Linked DNA regions of Lytechinus pictus. The protein of the gene in region 2 binds, or shares a complex with, the protein of the main gene of each other region. Links are inferred from orthologs where the notes say so. Each region holds a gene or a part of one and is shown on either strand. Other genes may lie near its edges.

Region 1 (7,478 bases), on a different chromosome or scaffold from region 2:
AAGACAGAAAGGAGGAAGAAATAAAGGAAGGAAGAAAGAAAAAAAAAAGAAGAAAGAAAGAAAGAGAGAGAGAATGGCTGCGGGGAAGAGAAAGAAAGAAAGAAAGAAGGGAAAGAAGGAAGGAAAGAAAAAAGAAAGAAAGAAAAAAAACTGAGGGGAAGAGAAAGAAAGGAAAGAAAGGAACGAATAAAGAAAGAAAAAGGGTAAAAGGAAAGAAAGGAAAAGGTAAAGGATGGATGGAAGGAAGAGAAAGGGAAAGAAAGAAAACAAGAGAAAGGAAAGAAAAAAGAAAGGAAGAAAGAAAAGGTAAAAGGATAGATTGAAGGAAGGAAAAAAAGAAAGAAAAGAAAGATAGATAGAATGAAAGACAGAAAGAAATGAAGGAAGGAATGAAGGAAAGAGATGAAGGAAGGCAGAAAGAAAAAAAAATAAGGAAGAAAGAAAAGGATGGATGGAAAATAAAAGAAAGATCAAAAGAACGAAAGACAGAAATAAAGAAAATCAGGAAGAAAGAAAATGAAAGGAAAAAATAGAGAAAAAAACTGAGGGGAAGAGAAAGAAAGGAAAGAAAGAAAGGAACAAATAAAAAAAGAAAAAAGGTAAAAGGAAAGAAAGGAAGAAAAGGTAAAGGATGGATGGAAGGAAGGAAAAGGGAAAGAAAAAAACGAGAGAAAGGAACTTGAGAATGAAAAGCAGAGCTTCCAAGTCTCCCGGATCCTGCGGGAGAATACTGGATTGCGATCCAATCTCCCGTTTTCCCGACCCCATGCCAAAATCTCCCGGATAATCAGGATTTTTAGCTGTTAAATTATAAAATTCATACAAACGACTGTTTAACAAGTCTAGCATGTTCAACTTCCTAGCTTATACGGCAGCTTATATGATACGCGCCGTATAAGCTAAAACAACAACAACAACTAACACCCACGTGGAACCTCCTTATCACATTTTCATTTTACCCAGTAAATTCTACCAGTTTTTGTATAATCGTACATTGATTTCCCATGTAAATTAAGATAATTTTACTGAACGACTGGTGAAGTAGTCTAACAAGCCATTTTATTTCCAGGTTCTGCAATGTGTGTGATGAAAACTCTTCAGCGGTACTCCATGCACATGGCCCCCGATGCGCCCTGGAGTGGCTCCAGCCGGCCGCGCTGCGCCAGGAAGCTCCGAGAAGGAAAGTTCACGAGCACTGCGAGGCATTTTTCGTAAGCTTGCTTGCGCCTTATTCGAGCTGAAACTGTGGATCAACGATGGGATTAACAAGTGGATTACTTTTACACCTCGACTTTCAGTTTCAGGAATAATTTAATTGACAATCCTGAAGAATTAGAAGCAAAGTGGAGATTTTTTCGCCTACTTTCACTTGGGTTGATCGGATTCGAACATTTTCTCTTTCGTGAGTGAGCTAGCCTGGCGCTGGCTGGCTGAGCTGTGCGAAGCACGCCCCGTTAGTCCGGGGGCAGGGGGAGTTTATTCAGCTGATCGGGTACATAAGGTTTGATGGTCCCAACATGTTGGCATGATATCAGTGGTCAAGAAAATGTGTTGCTGCCGGGTCATATCCTGTACGGAAGGCCCAGAGGACCCCATTTTTGTCGGCCATCTTTGATTTTTCATGAAAATCAATTATTTTCATATTTTTGCACAAACAATGGAAAAATATTAAATGAATACGCATTTCACAATGATTTAGACAGTAGAAATCGATTGCAATCATTTTTTGGACAGTCCGGTTAAAGGGGAAGTTCACCCTGAAGAAAACTTTGTTGTAAAAATAGCAGAAAAAATAGTAAAAAATATTGGTGAAGGTTTGACGAAAATCCGTTAAAGAGTAAGAAAGTTATTAGAGTTCAAAGTTTTGGATTTGTGACGTCATAAACGAGCAGCTGCCCCATGTGTTATGTAATATAAAATGCATGAATTTTGAATTTTGTATGGTTCCTGATGACTTAATTTTTTTTCTATTCATGATCGGGTGTGAAATGATTTGTCTATTGATATACAAAAGGTACAGTGAAAACCATTTTCAATTTTCTGAGAAAATGACATTTCATTGATTTTTTACCATTCGCTATGTAGGAATGCTGCTCGCACATGACGTCACAAATCAAATAATTGAAATTCTAATAACTTTTTAATTATTTGATGAATTTTTCTCAAACCTTCGGCAATATTTTTGATTATTTTTTCTGCTATTTTTACAATAAACTTTTTGTCAGAGTGAACTTCCCCTTTAATATTTTTTGAAAAATATAAGAATTTATGCCAAAATTTCCAGGTTTTTAGGCAAAAATTTGCATGTGCATTGATATCTTTCCGTTCGTCATTAATATCAACAATTAATGAAAAATATCAGCATTCAACACGAAAGAGAATATATTAACGAGAATATTGATATGCTTCATGACAATATTAATGTCTTAATTTGGTTAGATATAGGGAAAATACTTCCAAATGTATTCCCCGATATTGCGATTAAATGACACCAAAAAGCAACCTCCGTCACTAGTCACACGAGTGATACCGACTTCAATGCGCTCGCTATAGCTTTCCTTTCAAAAGAGTACAATAGACTCAATCGGTCTTGTCTTGCCTTTGTTGGTGTGACTAGCACGCATGAATGCATGTCATGAGCGTCGCTATAGAAAAATGTATATTACATATATGGGTATGAGGGAAAAAGGCGTTTTTTACATATTTAAGCAGCTTTTATGTTAATGAAACCTCTTGGAAAAGTTAGAGGAGGGATTGCTCTGCAGGTCGCAAGCAATTACATTCGGACACCTTAAAACATAGTCCCGCAAGAGCCTGTCGAAGGTACCCCACCCTTATCCAAAGCTTGACTATTAAAATATCTTGCCCTTTGGAGCCCTCAATGTGGCAAAATGATGCTACGGTTAGGTATAAAAACAACTTTTATTTTCTTGAAATCACTTGCAGACGAAAGAGTAGGCTTTTCTCCATCAGCTACATTTAAATAAGTGAGGGCACAACAATGCCTACCCTCTCAGGGGGCTGCCCCAAGTCACCCACCCCCTTTTTCGTATTTTGCCCATTTCTTGGAAAATTTGTCAATTTGGAGCCACATTGATAAAAAAGTGTTTCTACTATGTAGTGAAACCACTTTTATCGTTTTAAACCACTTGGAGACAAAAGAATAGACTTTTTTCTATCTGCTACATATAAAGAATTACTGGAAATTCGAAGCCACCCCTGTCAGTGGGATGCCTAAAACACCTTCCCCTTTTTCCATATTTTTCAAATTTATGGAAAAATCTGAAAAGTTGGAGCCCCCACTGAGGCTAAAGGGTGTTTCTGCTAAAAAGCAATCCATTTAATTGTCTTAAAACCACATGGAGACGAAAGATTTGCCTTTCCTCTATCAGTTACATATAAAGAGGTGCTGGTACAGCAAAGCCTACCCCCGTCAGGGGCTCCTGAAATTACCCACCCCTACAGTAAGGAAGAAAGTTCAGACTATCCAGTCATAAATAAAGAAGAAAATTTATCAATGATTTCCTTGGCTAAAAAAAAATAGTTACGAAAGAAACCATGTTTATCAACATACACACAAGTGCATATTTGGGACTGTCAAACAATGTATTTCAGTGTGTGCAATACTAGACGATCATTCGAAACCTGATCTTTTTGAAGCATAACAGAAGTGAAAATTTATCCTTATACTGCTTACAAATGATAGAGCTACCCCAATTTTTAGGAAATGTGGACATTACAAGAGTTTTCATTGGTAAGAAATGTGAAGTTTGACAGTTCTGTGGGAGATTTCTTCCAGAGCAAACTTCGTTCGTGCAGCACCGTAGAAACCATGGGCTGCGTGGACTAGGCGCTAGCTAGCTAGGTATTCTAGACTGCCATTGATTCTGTGTGTGTGTGTACGTGTCTGAGCTGTGTGTTTATTGCAGAAAATGGCGCAAATTTTGCAATTCGAATCATGACTTATAAACTTTTTTGAAAGAAATTAATGATATGGCTTTTTTTCTCTCTTTTTCTTTTCTATATTTTTGATGGTGAAATATGGGGAATCTTTATAAAATATAATTTCTATATGAGAATTTTGCTTGCCCGATTCGGGCAATTAGTTTTTATCTGTGCTTCAAAACACTTGCCCGACTCTAACTTTTACTTGCCCCGGGCAATCGGGCAAGCGCTTATGTCGCACCCTGCATTGGCAAAAGTTGACCCATATCATTTATTCTGAATACATTTGCATTTTTATGATATATGTATGCAAATGCAATGTTTTTATTTATGCATGCAAGGTTGACTCATATTTTGTATATCACTATTTAATGGAGATTTTTGATAGAGTATATGTTTGTTTCAGAACAGTGTATGTTAGCTATATAATTCAGGATATTAGAATTTACTCTCCCAGAGTTATCATGAATGATGTACATACAAGACAGAATGCTTCTGTTCTGTTCGATGTTTGTTATTATCATTATTACAGTACCTGTACAAGTATCAACTTTTCATCTCCTTGCAGATCTGTAAATTTGCAGAAGATTGACATTGAGAAGCAAGTAGTTGACCCGCAGATACAATCCTTTCCTATGAGAGATTTATTCCCTGCAGCCAAGTAGCAATAAAAAAACACTTCAAAATCATGGCAGTGCAACCTCAAATGGATGCAAAGCAGGTAGAGTACATGGAATTTATGTTGATAAAACATTAAGCTAAGGAAATTAGAAAGTCAATTCCTGACCTTTTTATGTATGATTTTTTGTTGCAATGAAGTAATCACGTACATTGTGGTCTATTCTAACATTTGGATGTGGACCAATCTGAGTTTGAGATACCATTCAATGTTTTCTCACCTTATATGCAATATATCATGTTTAAAAAAATGCATGTTCAAGATAGTAGTTTCCTTATTTCTCTTTACAGTGTAGAGAAATAAAACAGATTTTGAAATCAACAACACATTTACATTTAAACAGAGGTGGTTAGGCATGCCTACCAACCTTACAATGTAGAGGATGGGAAATAGGTGTTTGAAGTATGGAAAACAAGGCAGATAATTTGTCACAAAAGGACAGACTGAATTGTCTAGAATAGAGGAAAGTTACTTCCTTGTTTACAATTATATATAGAGGTGAAAGTGTTAAGGCACTCTTTTCCTTTTCTTTACATCGCAGTTGAAGGAATTTCTCCACTCCTACAACAAGCTGACAGAAGCATGCTTCCTGGATTGCATCAATGACTTCACTAATAGAAAGCTACATGATAATGAGGTTAGTTGACTGTTCATGTTTGAAGTTTTCATAGGCCTCTTTTTCACCAAATATATTTCAAGATATTTTTTGTATTATTCATTTTGAGAGATTAAGAATTCAAGTAACTTTGCTTAATTCGATTCTTTTGGGATCACAGAAATCTGTTTAACTTATGAGAAATTTGATCAAAGAAGAGGTTCATATAACTTGTGTTTTGCATAGGCTAGTCTGAAAATTGCTTTAAATTTAAATTTTATATCCCAAAGAATTTCAAACCTGATAATATCACTGGCGCCCATCTTACGAAGAATTTCAATAGTTCTGAATAAAAACCCAAACTGGATTCGATATCAAAATTCTGTAATTATGCGATCGAATTTAGATATATCTCAATTTTAAGTTTGTATTAAAATCTATCACATCTTTTTGTGTGATTGGACCCTGTCCAATTTTCTATTTTCAAAATAAGTTTATGTTTATGTATGATCTTATGGCTTGTATTTTTAAGTCAGGTTTAACTAAGACCATGGTCTAACTCTGCTAAAATTATGGATAGCCTAAAAAAATTCCTTACATTGTGTGTTTCTTATGTTTATTGTGCTCTTTCTTAACTTGTGAATGATGAAAAAAGCTATCTTATCTATCCTTCTGCAATGGTAAAGAATGATTTGAGAGAAAAATGAACTGATGCATTGAAATTCTATTAGAGATTTATGCCACTATTGGCTATCCATAGTTAAACCGCATTTTTAAACCAGAGTTTAAATTAAACCCAACTTTAGAATACGGGCCTATGAATTTATGCTCATTAGCAAATTATATTTGATATCTACAATGACATCATAAAGTATACATGTATACTCCCTTTAGGAAGTCAAAGGAAATGATTGATATTCTATGAATGATGAGAGATAGTGCCAAGTGATTTAGAGTAAATAGAAACTTGATGATTTTTACAAATGTTTAAAGGAAAATAATCAAAGCTATCATAAGGATGAGATGCCTGTTCAAATGCAGACCTCATAAATCAAGACAATTCATAATTAGAAAATATGACGAAACTGATTCTGTGGCTTGTACATGGCAAAATTCCTAAAACTGTCTTAAAAAATTGAATATTAATAAAACATGCAGAGTGGAATAAAAAAAAGTATAATATTCTAAATTTTGTTTTCTTTCACCTCAACATTGCAGAAACACTGTTCATTTAACTGCATGGAGAAGTACCTTAAGATGACGCAGAGAGTTTCCTTGAGATTTCAAGAGTACCAGGTCCAACAGAATGAAGGTCTTATAGCCCAACAAGCAAAGTTTGGTGGTAGATAGTAAAGGATATAAACTATAAAATACAAATCAAATTGACTGTTGCCAGCATTTAATAGTCAAATCCAGCTTCGGCCAGATTTTAGCGGCCTCATTACAAACTGTTTCAAGTGGCTTTGTGACTCTGAACTACTGGCCTCAGCTCTGAAATTAACGAGTATTGTTGAATATAATGTAACTATTAGAGGACTACCGACACCATTCAATGCAACCAGCTTGGATACTCCTGTCAGTGTTGCTTCTTTGTGGTGCTTTTTTAGGATCATCTTTGGGGTGTTGCAAGAAACTTGATTGCAACCGATTGCAAATTTCAATTGCGAATTTGTGATGAACAGATCACTGAACTATATCGACTCGATTTATAGACTTTTCTGCAAGAGAAGACGAACAAAACAATAAAAAATTTACAAACATTTCCAAGACAATTTATGATTGATTTGGGGACCAAAAATTTATTTAGTAATCGATTGCAAATTTCTTGCAATGCCCCCTTAGTTTGAACTGCATTAATACAAATATACTCATCCCATTGGTCTGATGGTTGCTCAGATTTTACCTGGCCATACATGACTATGTACATGTAGCTACCATATTTGATCTTTCTTTGGTACAAAGATGAAGGGGGTATTCTGATCATTCAATTTATTTGTAAAGTTGGAACACAAATCCAAAAGGTGTTAACCACTCCACAATCATACCTCAACTGCAAAGAATTCTTTTACTCCCCTAGTGCATACATGAATCTTTCATTCTTATCCCGGTTGCAAATGAAGCCCTTTCTATATTTTGGCTGTTTTTTGTGCTGAAAAGGAGTCCCTTTTGCATCACTTAAAATTTTGTATATTTAATTCATTTCAAAATAAATATGGTTTCTTTAACCCATTCTGAATATAGCTACAATAATGCTTATGT
Region 2 (7,107 bases):
CTTTTAAAAATGTATGTTGTGCACGCCCTTTTATGAGATGAGCGAGACCAGTCCCTCCCCCTTTTATTTATTTATTATTTTTTTGAGGGGGGGGGGGTCTCTTCATAAATTTGGTAGAATATTGATTTGACCTACAGCCTGTGCCCCTCTCCACATTTTAAGAAATCATGAATCTGCCCGTAACTGCTTTTATCTTTTGGTAGTTGCATCAAAGTTACTTTTGTGATAATTTTGCTATCCAACCATGGAATATTGGCTGTCACCATGGTAGTTGCTCACTCGTAAATTGTTAAGAGTATCAATGGCAACTTTGGCAAGAATAAAATTTCAACAAACATCAATTTTCTTAACATGCCAAGTGTGCCTATACCAGTCAGTCAAGTACATTCAGATGATCATTCTTTTATAGTGATTAGTATCACTGATGATATGTAAACAGTCATGGTATAATTAAAGCTTTGGTAAAAGACAAATATACATACCAATCTTACAAAAGTGTAGTGAAAATTACCCAAGTTTCCAAAAACTAATTCTTTGTCAAATTAAATATTGACGAGATGGCAGATGTACACCACTGTACATACATGTAGCCCTATTTGTTTAACACTTATGAAGTTAACTCTCATATCAAAATCTCTTAACAAAGATTTAATCCCGATACTTGATCCATGCATGAAAGGTTATTGATACCAAAATCAAGGATTTTTGGCTCGGGACCCATTACAACCCAACATATTGATTGTTAATTTAACCTATTCATATTATATGCTGAATCAAATCTTTCACCTCAGGTGTTTTAGGATACTTTTTCATTTTATTGAAAATGGTCACTTTATCCTATCCATCTTTAGAAACATATGTTTGAAAAATACAGTATTGATTTTCACTTTGAAGCCTCACCCTTGTATTAAAAAATGCTTACTATCAGAAGTTTGGAATTGTATGCACTATGGACTACAATACAAAATTTGAAATTTTGGCAAAGCTGAATAAGCTCAAATGAAACTGAATAATTTTCTTTTTAATTCTCCAGAACATGCCTTTCTAGATACACAGAGTTTTGTTACCCCCGCAATTCCGCCAATATCAATGGCTTTAAATCTGCGATTTACCTTCTGTGACATTTAGCAAAAGTGTCAATATATTGTCCTCTCAAATCTACCATGCAATCCTGTGCTCTGCAGTCTGCACAGAACACGCTGGATAATAACATCATTGCAACACTTGCAGAGTGATTGCACCTAAATATTGCATCGTTGCTAAACCTATAGCAATTTTGCAAACATGATGCAAAAATGCAAGGCAAGAGAATGCTAGTCATATATACAAACTGACCAGATTCTGTGTCACAGAAGTTGCATCTTAATCTAAAGCAGAGTATTATCATAATTTTCTAATTAAAAAAAAAAAATCAAATTCAATGTGGGTGAGGCTTGCATGGCTCAGTTATCATTCTCTTGTCCTTCATTCAGCCCGTTGGACAAGTTACAAATTAAACTTCTCAAATATGATCTTACAAACAGGCGATATCCTGCCTTGACCACTGCTGAAAACCAAACTCCTCTGGACTTAATAGTTAATGCTTTCATGAAGCTGATATGTGGCCAAGATAACTGCATCCACAAGTTACATCTGATCTGGGTCCTATAACATTTTAAAAGCAATTCAATGAATTGTACATTCAATTGAATTGCATCTCTAATGTACCTGGGCCCTGGGCTGATTGGAGATCATCACTAACTCTGTCCCTGCATTTGTTTCATCATGGCCTCATCTTGGGCTGACTTCTCAGTCAATTTTTTACCAATGCTCTCATGGACCTCCAAATACTTAGCAACACAGCGATCCAAGCAGACAGCTTCACCTTTAGAAAGGTCACCTTCTTTGTAGGTAGGTGGAATACACTTCTTCTGACAAGCAACAGTCATCCTAAAAAAGAAAAGTACATACATTTTAAGAATTAGTTGAAATTATGGTATAAGATAATGAAATGTAGGACGATAGGATCTGGAGCCGTATTCTGAAAATTGTCTTATCTTGTATCTTCAGATAAAATCCGTAGTCTGACATTCTTGTATCTTTTCTTGTAATTTTTTTGTAACTTTGAATGAGCATGTTTGACATCACAGTTATGATGCGTAAAGTTGACAATCACAATGGCACATAAAAATATCTGTGCGCAAGATAACTAATCGAGAAAAAACATTGAAAAAGGTAGTTCTGAAAGTTCTGCTTACTTCCTTAAAATACAAGAAAATTTAAGAGATAGGGGGCTATTGTAACTTTATCATGCGATATTTATCGGTCAAAAATAATAATTTTTTGCTGCATCCCGCAAGAACATCGTTTTACAAAATGAGAAAAGATTACATAGACGGATTGGTAGACTTTTCAACAATCAATTTATCAAAAATTGGTATTCGAGTTGATGAATTTTTAATATATTACTATTAGTATTAAAAGTATTAATATTAGACTCTATATAATGTGGAGCAGCCTAGTATAATAATGTCAAAGAAAATATGATTCGGAGAACAGCCACATGCACTTTTACTACTTTTACCATGTTTACATTAGCAGTACTAACCTGTTGTACATGTCTGCCATCATTTCTACTTCTAATTCAGCCAAGAGCTGAAGCTGCTGCTGTTCATTCATGATTGTTCAAGTCTATTCGACTAGGAATTGTGAAGTCTCCTCTCTAGCGCAGTGCCGTCTTTGCCACGCCGAGGTTGCGGCGGATAATGAGACGAGCGGTCCGTCAAGCAGATGCAAAGTCCGAAGCGAAGATGGCACTGGCGAAATGAATATATCCTTATTTTTTTACAGTTTAGGTTCAGATGATTAATCGAATTAGTATAAATTATGATAATCGACGGATATTGAAACTATTAAACATACAAAGATCGATTCTCCTCTCAATATTCGTTGCAATTTTGTTTAGTATGCACGTGGACCAAGCAATTCTTATGGTAAACGCACTTACACAAATAAAAAAGTAATTATTTGGAAAAAAGGCTACTCTGAGCTGCTCATCTCATCTCATTTATTTCAAAACAAACTGCGATTTATTCAATTTCAATTCAATTCAATTTATGACAGTGGATAGTTGAATATTATTTTTATAAAAGACTTTTTTCTACAGAAGCATGGGAGCTGTGATGACTTAAGATTAATATGCCCCTTTTCACGCATTTATGGGGGGGGGGGGGGGGGCTATCTAGGGGTCGAGCTAGCTACTACACATATTTTTATGTTAAATTGCCAATTCGTCTACTGCCATCCCACTGGTCTACCTTCATTTTGTCAAATGCCATTTCGTCAATCAATATTTCATCTACCACCCATTTCGTCCAGCAGTCGTCATTTTGTCGAATATCCATTTCGTCTACCACCCATTTAGTCTGATTCCATTTAGGCTAATGCCAACTCTTCCATCAATCAGTTCGTCCAACATTTATTTGGTCCAATAGCCATGTCGGCTAATATCAGTTGGTCCAATATTCAAATTGTCTACTTATCAATTCGTTTAATTGCCATTTCGTCTAATTATCTTTTTGTCCACCAACCATTAGGTCCGATACTAGTAATCAGTTCGTCTAACAACCAATTTCTTCCAATTCCCAAATCATCCAATAGCCATTTAGTCTAATAGCTAATTGGTCCAATAGCCATTTTGTCAAACACAAATACGTTGCATTATCCGAGCAGAGGCGGCAAAATTACTTAAATATATATACCTTGAAATTATTGAAAATAAAAAATGAATTAAAAAATCATGATAACTACTATCAGGAATGGAATGAACACATGCCCCCACCCCCTTCAGCTGGCAAAAAAAAAACGGGGGAGGGGGAGGAGAAAAAGAGGAAGAAAGAGAAATGTAGTGGGGAAAGAAGAAATCATTGTATTTTATTTTAATGTTATATTATTTAACATTTGTATTATATATTGCATTATATTATACACAAGATATATTTTTCATAACTGTATGAAACACAATTTGCTTAGGGCCTATGTGTTCGTCACTCCTGGTGCTCGCATTGTCTGTTTAATGAGATAGATCATCCTGTTCAATGGCACTAAATGGTATTGAAACATCCCGTTTTCAAGTCAATATACACCAAATATATTTCCTTGCACTTCGAGCTTTTACTATTTTATGTAGTGACATATGCTTCTGTTTCATGACTACTTAATGTGATAGCCTCCGAAAACATTTCCAGTCGTGCTTAGGTCTGCATTCGCGGATTGGTGAGATATGTCTGCTCTTCATGAAAACCTAAAAACAGTCCTTAAAATGTCCCCTTTTTTCTGGTCTGAATATCAAAAATTTTCAGCTCGCGCTTCGTGCTTGAATTATTTGATTAAGGAGATACATATCCTTTTACTAACACAATCCTTAAAAGCTCTATTGTCAGTATATGAGCCCACTAAGTAACTCAAAATTCTGGTCGGATATAACAATTAAAATGATAATCATCGATCATTCATCATCATATAACAATAATAATAAAAATGAATAAATAATAGTAATAATAATAAGAAGAATGGTAATTAATATTTATAATAGATTTAGATTTAGATTTATTCATTTTCCGTTCACAAAGCACAACAAAATCAAAGTAACAATACATAGTCAAATAGTCACACACAAAAAGAAAAAAAAAGAGGAGAAAAAAGTAGGTGAGGGGAGAAAAGGAAAGAGGTAAAATAAGAGGAAGTCATGTGAATAAAACCAAAAATACAAAAACAAAATAACAAAAACAGGTGTGTATTAATCAGAAATCCTGAGCGCTACAGGAGGCGAGTCAGCAATACACAGGCACCGTACACATAGAGGGCTGCTATAGTAGAAGACTATTTATGGTTGTAGATGAAATGAATGTTGGACGAAATGATTGGCCAAGATGGCATTTGAACCTATTGGTGATTAGACCAAATGATTTTTAGACAAAATGGGTTTAGACTAAGTGATGGTAGACCAACTGCATTAGGCCAAATGGACAATAGACAAAATGAAAGTAGACTAAGTGGTCATTAGACTATTTATTTATTTATTGTGGAGCGTTGTGGCCCAGTGGATTTGTCTTCGGACTTTGAAACAGAGGGTCGTGGGTTCGAATCCCAGCCATGGCGTAATTTCCTTCGGCAAGAAATTTATCCACTTTGTGCTGCACTCGACCCAGGTGAGGTGAATGGGTACCCGGTGGGATTTATTCCTTGAATGCTTTAGCGCCTGTATGGCCGCTCAGCTACAGCCGGGGTAATAATAATATACCAAGTATATTTCAGCGCCTTGAGCACATAATCAATGTGGATTTGGCGCTTTAGAAATACTCTATATTATTATTATTATTATTATTATTATTTGCCTTTAGACCAGTTGGCTATTAGACCAAATGGTAATAGACCTAATGAGATTGGACAAAGTGGCTATTGGACCAAATGGCAAAAAAATGCAATTAGACCAAATGAGAATAGACAAAATGGTTATTAGACCAACTGGCTATTGGACAAAATGGTAATTGGACGATGTGGATAGTGGACCAACTGATGGCTGACGAAATGACATTAGACCATATGGTGAGTGGACAAAATGGCAGTAGACAAAACGGCAGAACTGAAACCATTTTTATTTAGTTTGCCAATATTCTCAGCTTTTCTGTACCATTGTTTAGTACCCATTGAAATATCCTTATAGAATGCGAAGGAATTAATATAACTGAAACGAAAGGCCAGTCAGTGGGATTTTTGTTGAGGCGATTCTTTTTAGTCAAATCAATTGAACATGTATCTTCTTTAAATTCTATTTTTCTAATACCTTTGTTTGCCTTATCATTGTTGTATGGTGTTATCACTCTATTCTATACTCTGCATTGCTTTTTATTGGAATATTGAATTGAAAATAAATTGAAATTTGCACATCATGCAAAACCCCATGCAACCATGCAGATAAATGAACATAACACTTAGCTTTCGTGAACTTGTGCAAGTTTTAATTAGAAAAAAACATATATACATGTATTAACACATGTTGTATTCATTTTTGAGAGGGGGCAATAAAGAAAAATCCACAACACAACAAAAATGTTCAGAATCCACATAGCCCTAATCTAGTCTGCAGGCACAGACCCTAATTGAAGCTTTGATCAACAATTGAGTCTCCACAGAAGACTCGCATATATAAAACTTGCTGTTTCAGTAAATATGTAGGCTGCACATTCAGACCTTTAACTCAAGTGAGGGGTTTGCACAGGAGACTAGCCAAAATCAGGAGTAAAAGGGGTTCACTAGATTTGACTTTAATTGGAGGATACAAACACATAAATGTGGAACTAAGGGGAAGTCCACCCAAACAAGTCAATTTGAATAAAAAGAAAAACAAAATCTTGCTGAACTCATACTGAAAATTTCATCAAATTCAAAATCAGAATAAAATAAGTATAGTATGACATTTTACAAATTTTGAGTAATTTCACAAGACAGTAATTTGCATATACCGGTCATTATGCAAATGAGGGAACCTTTTACATCATCCAATCACTATTTCTTTTGTAATTTATGATATGAATATAAAAAAAGTATTTTAATTTTCTCCTCATTACAAAGTGACACAAATTTTAAGTCCTCTCAAAACTTTTGAAACTGCCATCTGGCTTAATCTTTCATGGTTCAATCAAGAGGATGCTTATTATCAATCTGGAAAACTTAAAGTGTTGCTTAATTCATATAATAAAAAAGTTATTAAGCATTTGTGAGTTAACAACATCAACTGTCTCAATTGCATATCACTGAGTTATGCATAGAACTGTTTTGACAAAAATAAGCAAAAGTTCAAAATGTCAGAACTTCCTTATTTTACATCTTATTTTAATAAAATTTTCAGCACAGGCTTGCTTGATTTGTCTCTTTTGATTCAAATCAACCTTTGTCTGAGATGGACTTGACCTTTAAATAAATCTCCCATGGCTAGCCCTACCCATGTGAAAAAACCCCCTGACATTGCCTGTTTATCTATACTGACAGAAAGTAAAAAAAAGTATGGTACTAATGACTACTATCCATTTCATTTGGAAGTCTCAGGGTGGTAGGGGATAGTAGAAT
Region 3 (7,692 bases), on a different chromosome or scaffold from region 2:
CATAAATTAAAATGAAAAGGAGCCGTCTCTCTTGTCGTCAGCTCCAATTCAGTTGACTATATTCTGATTTTGAACATTGATTTGAAAAGTGATTGTGATATGTTCGAACGCACTAAAAGGGATAAATGGAGGAAATTAAAATAACAATTACCCCGCGCGAAGCGCGGAAGCTAAAGCGTTTTATCAATTGTTTTTTAAGAAAAGGGTCCCGGGAAAAGGGTATCAAGTTAGTTATATCATGTATATTGAATTCCCGTGGAAAGTTTGATTACAAACAATTTAGCGACAGTGCATATTTTTAACTCGCAAAACAGAGAAGAAGAAGGGTGCCGGGAGGAAGACATTCCTCCACGCGCACAGCAATGAAACTCTGAAATTTCTAAGGGCGGACGTTACGTCAAATGCAGATATCTCCAATACCCCCATCGGCTCTATTGATTTTCTAAGATTATTGAACTTCATTACAAGGAAAATAGAGCGCAAAAAGTTGAAGCTTCTGTGATTTATTGAAATTATATTATAAAAATAATAATTTCTTTGACTCATCCTGAAGCGCTCGCATTTGAACAATTAAGAAACTTAAGTGTCTTTCAAAATTTCAAACTGAGACATGACATGAAGTTTCATCGAATTTGATAAAAATATTGTACTTTTTTATTTAATACGACACGAATTTTATACCTTCCTCTTTTTCAATTAGGAACCTGTTTACCCCAAAATTATGAATGTTTATTAACAAGCTAAAGCGGGAGAAGTTGCCTATATGGGGGTGACGGCAACATTTGATATAAAGATTTTACCCGCCGGGAGCCGACCCGACCAGAAGTGCGGAATGTTGCGTGATCAATTTGAAGGAAAAAAAGACAACTTCATATAATTCGGCCTAATCTTACTCTAATTCCATGCCCTAATGTATACATTTTAACTTTAAGTAGCAAGGAACGCACTAGCCCTATAACCGAGGTGGAAAGACAGGGTTAAAGAAAGGGTGAGGGAAAGGAGAACTGCAATATTGTCATTTGACCGCGCGAAGCGCGGAAGCAAAATTCATATATATATAAATTTAGAGCGAGAGTGAAGGAGTTTCGTTAAGGTACTAATTCTTTTGAGAGAAAAATAAAGAATGAAAAGAAAAACCCACAAAGCAACCTCTCTTCCCCTTCCTCCCTTCGCTTTCCTTTTCTCCTCTCTTTTTCCCCTTCCTTTTTTTCTTTTTTGGGACGTTTTGGGGGGGGCGACCGCCCCCACCGCCCCCCCTGGCTACGCGCCTGTTTGACCTTGATCATGTGACCTGAAACTCGCACAGGATGTTCAGTGATACTTGATTACTATTATGTCCAAGTTTTATGAACTAGACCAACACACTTTCAAATTTATGGCTGTAATTCAACAAATACCCCAATTTGGCCAAAGTTCATTGACCCTAAATGACCTTTGACCTTGATCATGTGACCTGAAACTTGCACAGGATGTTCAGTAATACTTGATTACTATTATGTCCAAGTTTCATGAATCAGATCCATAAACTTTCAAAGTTATGATGGTAATTCAACAGATACCCCCAATTCGGCCAAAGTTCATTGACCCTAAATGACCTTTGACCTTGGTCATGTGATGTGAAACTCATGCAGGATGTTCAGTGATACTTGATTAACCTTATGTATAAGTTTCATGAACTAGGTCCATATATTTTCTAAGTTATGATGACATTTCAAAAACTTAACCTTAGGTTAAGATTTTGATGTTGATTCCCCCAACATGGTCTAAGTTCATTGACCCTAAATGACCTTTGACCTTGGTCATGTGACATGAAACTCAGGCAGGATGTTCAGTAATACTTGATTAACCTTATGGCCAAGTTTCATGAACTAGGTCCATATACTTTCTAAGTTATGCTGTCATTTCAAAAACTTAACCTCAGGTTAAGATTTGGTGTTGACGCCGCCGTCGCCGCCGCCGTCGGAAAAGCGGCGCCTATAGTCTCACTCTGCTATGCAGGTGAGACAAAAATGAAGGGTCTTTAATAGGTATTTAGTATATTAAAAAGAAATGAACCATGATTTGACAATGCAGACCATTATCTTGGCAACATGTGCCACCAAGTATGGGTATATATCAGAAAAATAATCGAAATAAAATGACCTAGCGAACAGTGAAAAACAAACCCAATGAGAGCTGGTTGAACCATCTCAGATAAATACAAGTATTTATAAAGTGATTGTATAACAAATAATATTTACCCTTTTCTAGCAGCTGGATTTAGAAAGACAGTTGCTTTGACAGGTTTGCTAAAAGTCTTTTCCAGTTGCTGTCCATACACCTATAATCACAGAACATCAAGATATCATGTGATTAATGTCAATGCGAAATACCACTGAAGAAAATAATAATACCCCAGCGAGAATGTAGCATTTTAGCTCAGTTTATTGCCATCTGTCTTTTTGTGGCAATAGAGCGAGTACCCAACCCATCAAAAGAAAAAAATGTTTTGTGACCAATTTGTACATGTATCAGTCTCATGAGCATTTGGTGAAAACTAAGAAAATGGTTTGAAATGTAAAATATGTACTGTAACAGACCAACCAACTGACTGACCACCCAATCCCCTAAAGTCATACACTGATTTTTACATGTATACATGTACCCCTTTTTAGAGTTCATTTGAAATTCATTCAGTTATTTTGTCAATGTACATAGCCGACAAGCAACGCTTATCTGCTCGAAATGTCCTGGATAACAGTTCTTTTCAGAGCTACTGTCAGTAAGATAAACCAGCAGTCCTTTTAAGGACCAACCTACATGGTGTTATAAAAAAACTCTCCATTCAGTCTTACCACCATGCAAACCTTTAAAGCTCACAATACATACAAAGTACACTAGTTGATTAGTTCTGTCATGAAACTATCAAATGTTGCAACTGACTGTGAATAATATTTATAATAGATCATAATATTCAATGCATAGCTACCTGTGCTTGTTTGCAGTACTCTGTTCTCAACAGATTTGCCCTAAAGATTGAATAAAAACAAACAAACAGAATGATAAAGGCAACAAAGAGGAATAACTCACAATATTATTTGGATGTAGGGTTTTAGAGGCGCAGATGTTTTTGATGTCTTGCGAGGTTGTTTTAAAGAGACAAAATATTAAGTGATTTTTAACGTGCATGCCTATGGAAACCATCCAATATTGAAAATATTGGAGAAAATTAATGTTTTGCCCCGCCCACAAGCTTATCATTGGTTAATAAATGATTGTGCGCGTGAACCTATTGTTATGTCACAATGAAATTGTATTGTGTATTAGTTGACAGGTGTGGTAAAGGAGCATCGATTTATTGAATTCAAATGCGCTTGCATTATACGCTAGCGCATCTTTATTTTATTAAAGATTTTTAAATTACAATAATCAGGCGCCCATGCTCATGATTTACAGGAATGCCATAAATGATGGTTTTGCTTCATTACTTTGTTTGGCTTTGTGGGGATTTCTAAATAATAATAATAATATTGGATGACCAATTTTCGTGGGATGAAATATTGTTACTTGCTGAAGAACAATATTTCTTCGCATCCACTCAATGCCATCCAATATTCCGTAAATATCATATCTCATTTTAACAATATTCTTGCCGCAATTGTCTAAAGTTTTATGGTGTGAAGGAGAATGGATTAGAAAATATGGATGAAGCTATTTGTCAAACAGCTGCTGAGCGTCTTGGTGTCCATCTAACCGTAAACGATCTCAATAGATCGCATTGTGCTGCTCCAAGGAGTGATAAACCAACTTCAGACTCTGGATCTGCAGGCATCAATCAGAAGAACAAGAAGCCGCGTGCCATTATTGCCAAGTTTTGTTCATACCCAATCCGAAACAGTGTCCTGCGTGCACGGAGGAAACTGAAAGGTACTGGTATGGGGATAGAGGAGGCAATAGGACTACAAACAAGGAACTTCTGTGGGCTGCGAAGAAACACTCAAAGGTCAATGGAACTTGGTCCTCTGATGGACGAATCGTAGTCCTGTTAACTACCACGAATGGAAAGTCAATTCGTAAAACCAATCACAGAAAAAAAGACTTGGAGAATCTGTAACCTGAGAGAAAAATCAATGCTGTTGCATTCCAGTTCAGATTGGTTTATATCAGTCGGTTTATTATCTGACTCTAAAAGATAAATAACAGATAGTGATTGAAATAGTATTTTACCTTTTGTCAATTGTTTTTCACATATTTGTGTTTTGTGAAGATTTTGTGTTCTTGTCCTGTTACATCTTGTTAATGATGTCGAATGATGTAATAATAGACTCAAGTTTGAATAAAGATGAAACCATCAATAACTCATCTGTAAATTTAAACGATACTTACCTTCTCCCATTTGCAGAAATTGATGACTAGGAATTTGAATCTTTATTCCGTTTTTCAAGAGAATCTGTCGATACAGATAATATAGACCGACAACTTGTGGAAAATGGCCAGGATGAATATACTGACTCTACCAATGTGAGTATCACTTGACCTCCAAATTCAATGAAATTATCAAAAACTCTGTAACAAGACACTTGAGCATGATCCATTTCAATGCAAGAAGTTAATTTCAAAATTTCGATTACATTCACAGTTTTCTCTCAAATATCAGATTTAGATTTTCAGTGATTGGGATATCGGAAACATGGATCAACTCAAACTCTCATTTCCCCTTTTCAATTGAAGTTCCTACATTGTGACCGACTAAATGGCCGTGGTGGAGTTGGTCTATTTATTAGAGAGGATATGAATTAAAAATTGTGTGATTTTTCAGAGCACTATGAAGGTGTCAATGATTTACACATTGAAATAGAGTTCAAATCAGGGGAGAGTATCATGATTGGGATAATTTATCGCAAACCGAAATCGAGTATTTCTGCATTTACTTCATATTTTGATAGACTGATGAATAATAGTTATATAAATAATGTTTCTTCTTAATGGGCAACTTTAACATCGATTTGTTAAAAAAATCTGGAAGCCCTCTATTTCTTCATTTTTTGAACCATGTGATTTCATCGGGGTTTTATTCCATTAAAGACAGACCTAAACGAGCCAATAGTAGATCATCAACTATTATTGACAATATATTCATAAATGTTTTTAGTCGTTCCCCTTTGTCGGTGCCTTTTTACCAGATATTCCCAACCACTTTCCTATCTTCCATTTGTAACATTTGTCAGATATTGTAATATATGAGCAATGAAAAGTACATGTACACACCTACAGGAAGATATCCCCTGCAGCATTAATCATTTATGTGCTGATCTTTCAACCATGGACTGGTCAGAAGTATACCTACAAAGCCACCCGGAGATGGCGTATGACTCATTAAACTTTATTACCTTGTATAACAAACATCTGGCAGATGTTTGTTATACAAGGTAATAAAGTATCTGCTAATCAGTACAAAGTATATTGGTAAACGTTATCAGAATAGAAAGCCACGGATTCCCCTCAATATGATGAAGCTTACAAGAAAGAAAAATAAATGTTATAAATTGTACCTAAACTCTATGAAAGCTAATCACGATAAATATAAAAAGATTCGAAATGCTGTTACCCTGAATCTCCGGCAGTTGAAAAGAAAATATCATTTTGATAAGTTTGAATCCTAGAAAACAAATTCTAATAAAATGTGGAAACTTATCCATAACATTTTGGGAAAACAAAAAAATAATTCTGATAATCAAAAGTCTTTTTTACACAATGATTGTAACATTAGTGACTTCGTGAAATTGCAGAAAATTTAAATGAATATTTTGTCAATATCAGATCGAGCAAAAACAATGATCCCAATGACGATCATTTTAATTTGTTTGATATGTATATGAGTGACCCACTTTCTCATGTTTTTTAAACCGATTACAAAAAAAGAAATATTAGATATCAGTAAATCGCTATCTAATATTAAGAGTACCGTATTTGATGACATTGATCCATGTGTTGTGAAGAATGTTTTACCTTTCATTATAGACCCACTCTTACATATCTTTAATTCCTCTCTTGTATTAAACTGGAATTGCGCCTTCAAAACTGAAAATATCAAAAGTTGTTCCCGTTTTTAAAAAGGAGAATCCTAATCTATTCATCATCTACTGTCCAATATCAATTTTGCCATGTTTCTCAAATATCTTAAAGAAATTGGTTTTTAACAGACTATACAATTTTTTATTATGTCACAATGTATTATATGATAGTCAATACGGCTTCCGTCAAAATTACTATAGGAAATGGCACTTATTGAAATTCATGATAAAATAATTAGTGAGCTCAATGCCGGTATTAAGGTTACGGGAATTTTTAAAGATCTCTCCAAGACTTTTGATTCTCTTCCTCATGATAAAGTTGCAATATAATGGTATAAGAGGAGTGTCTTTTAATTGGTTCAAGTCATATTTATTACATTTACTGTCTATAATAATACCCATTCGTCTTTCATGGAGAAATTAAAACAGGTAGGCCCCTAGGTTCTATTCTTGAGCCTTTATTATTTTTAATAGACATTGTTAATGTAACTCTTGCCATGAACCACATTTTATATTGTATGCCGATGATACGTCACTTCATCATCATCACGGGTACCCAGCAACAGAACGAAAGTTCCATGATGCTGTGGTCGGGTGCAGATGCGAAATTGATTAGTTTAGAGCAGCCTTAAATTTGTCAAGCGATTGCATTGATGTAATGGCTAAGGGAAGGTCGTTCCAGTCCCGTATGGTTCTGGGCAGGAATGAGTACAGGTGCCTATCAGTTCTGGATTTGATGATATTGTAGGCATCTGGTGTGAAGCGTCGACTTGGACGGCTAGAGTTTTAAGGTGGAGTTTGGTTGACGTTACTGGAGATTCCCCCTTATGAATTAAGTAGAACTGGCTCAATCTGGCATTGAGTCGGCTGTCAACAAGACTTTCCCACTCTAATTGTTTTAGCATCCTGGAAACACTGGACTTACGACTGTAGTCGTTGATCACAAAACGAGCGGCTCTTCTCTGAACTTTATCTAACATATGGATGTATCTAGCCTGGTAGGGATCAGTAACAGCAGACGCATACTCCAGGTGTGGACGAACAAGAGCTTTGTAAGCTTTCCCTTTGGTATCAGAGCTGCAGTCTTATTTGCTTTGCTGACTATTCGCTGATAGTGTGATTTCCCCGGGGGGGGGGGGGGGGCACTCGACCAAAAAAGTGGTAGGGGTGTGCCGCGGGCGAGACAAAAAACGGGGGCCTTGGAGCGGGCTTATTGTAAAAAGGAGGGTCCTCGGAACGGGCTTCGGAACTACAAATGTTTGTGAAAACGGGGGACCTTGGAACGGATCGCCAGCGTGTGAGTGCGTATGCATTCCTATGATGCATCCCTATGGAACAGACAGGCATGCGTGCATGATGCAGCTAGCGCGGCCTCCGCCGGGTGCGCTCGCGCAGAGGCAATGGTCGGACAGCGCTCTGCGGCCGCTTTTCACCAAAATTGCAGCTCATTGTAGCAGATCAATGCGACCGGAACGGCGTAACGAAAATATGCAAAGCTTTGGAGCGGATTTCTTTCTTCTTTTTTCTCGATAAGAAGAAAATGCTATGCTTTGGAGCGGCTTTCTTTCTTCTTTTTCTCAATAAGACAAAAATGCTATGCCTTGGAACGGAAATTTAAGTGTAAAAATGGGGGTCCCCT

The links.
Region 1: the proteins of mitochondrial import inner membrane translocase subunit Tim10-B-like (region 2) and mitochondrial import inner membrane translocase subunit Tim9-like are in contact, whole or in part, in a crystal structure (PDB 2BSK), measured with the Homo sapiens proteins. The link is inferred for Lytechinus pictus from reciprocal best matches to the Homo sapiens genes TIMM10 and TIMM9. Residues at the interface, in NP_036588.1 of Homo sapiens: Glu16, Met17, Asp20, Met21, Arg24, Ala28, Cys29, Lys32, Cys50, Arg53, Cys54, Ser56, Lys57, Tyr58, Asp60, Ile61, His62, Arg64, Met65, Gly66, Lys68, Leu69, Leu72; in NP_001291414.1 of Homo sapiens: Lys15, Leu18, Gly19, Tyr21, Asn22, Lys23, Thr25, Glu26, Cys28, Phe29, Leu30, Val33, Asp35, Phe36, Thr37, Thr38, Arg39, Glu40, Val41, Glu45, Thr46, Glu50, Leu53, Leu57.
Region 3: the proteins of mitochondrial import inner membrane translocase subunit Tim10-B-like (region 2) and acylglycerol kinase, mitochondrial-like are in contact, whole or in part, in a cryo-EM structure (PDB 7CGP), measured with the Homo sapiens proteins. The link is inferred for Lytechinus pictus from reciprocal best matches to the Homo sapiens genes TIMM10 and AGK. Residues at the interface, in NP_036588.1 of Homo sapiens: Glu40, Glu42, Leu43, Ser44, Lys45, Gly46, Ser48, Arg53; in NP_060708.1 of Homo sapiens: Phe49, Gly50, Asn51, Gln52, Leu53, Ile54, Pro55, Pro56, Val60, Ser91, Gly92, Met93, Asp94, Val95.

What each region holds. Positions count from the first base shown.
Region 1 is NC_087251.1:18,036,386-18,043,863, forward strand, and holds the start of mitochondrial import inner membrane translocase subunit Tim9-like, read left to right. Parts: upstream 1-4,475; 5' UTR 4,476-4,633; coding exon 4,634-4,666; intron 4,667-5,165; coding exon 5,166-5,261; intron 5,262-6,437; coding exon 6,438-6,569; 3' UTR 6,570-7,478. UniProt on the Homo sapiens protein: Mitochondrial intermembrane chaperone that participates in the import and insertion of multi-pass transmembrane proteins into the mitochondrial inner membrane.
Region 2 is NC_087246.1:16,544,048-16,551,154, reverse strand, and holds the start of mitochondrial import inner membrane translocase subunit Tim10-B-like, read right to left. Parts: upstream 3,002-7,107; 5' UTR 2,659-3,001; coding exon 2,588-2,658; intron 1,930-2,587; coding exon 1,737-1,929; 3' UTR 1-1,736.
Region 3 is NW_026974140.1:1,665,076-1,672,767, forward strand, and holds the start of acylglycerol kinase, mitochondrial-like, read right to left. Parts: upstream 3,004-7,692; 5' UTR 2,969-3,003; intron 2,321-2,968; 5' UTR 2,241-2,320; intron 1-2,240. UniProt on the Homo sapiens protein: Lipid kinase that can phosphorylate both monoacylglycerol and diacylglycerol to form lysophosphatidic acid (LPA) and phosphatidic acid (PA), respectively. Does not phosphorylate sphingosine. Phosphorylates ceramide.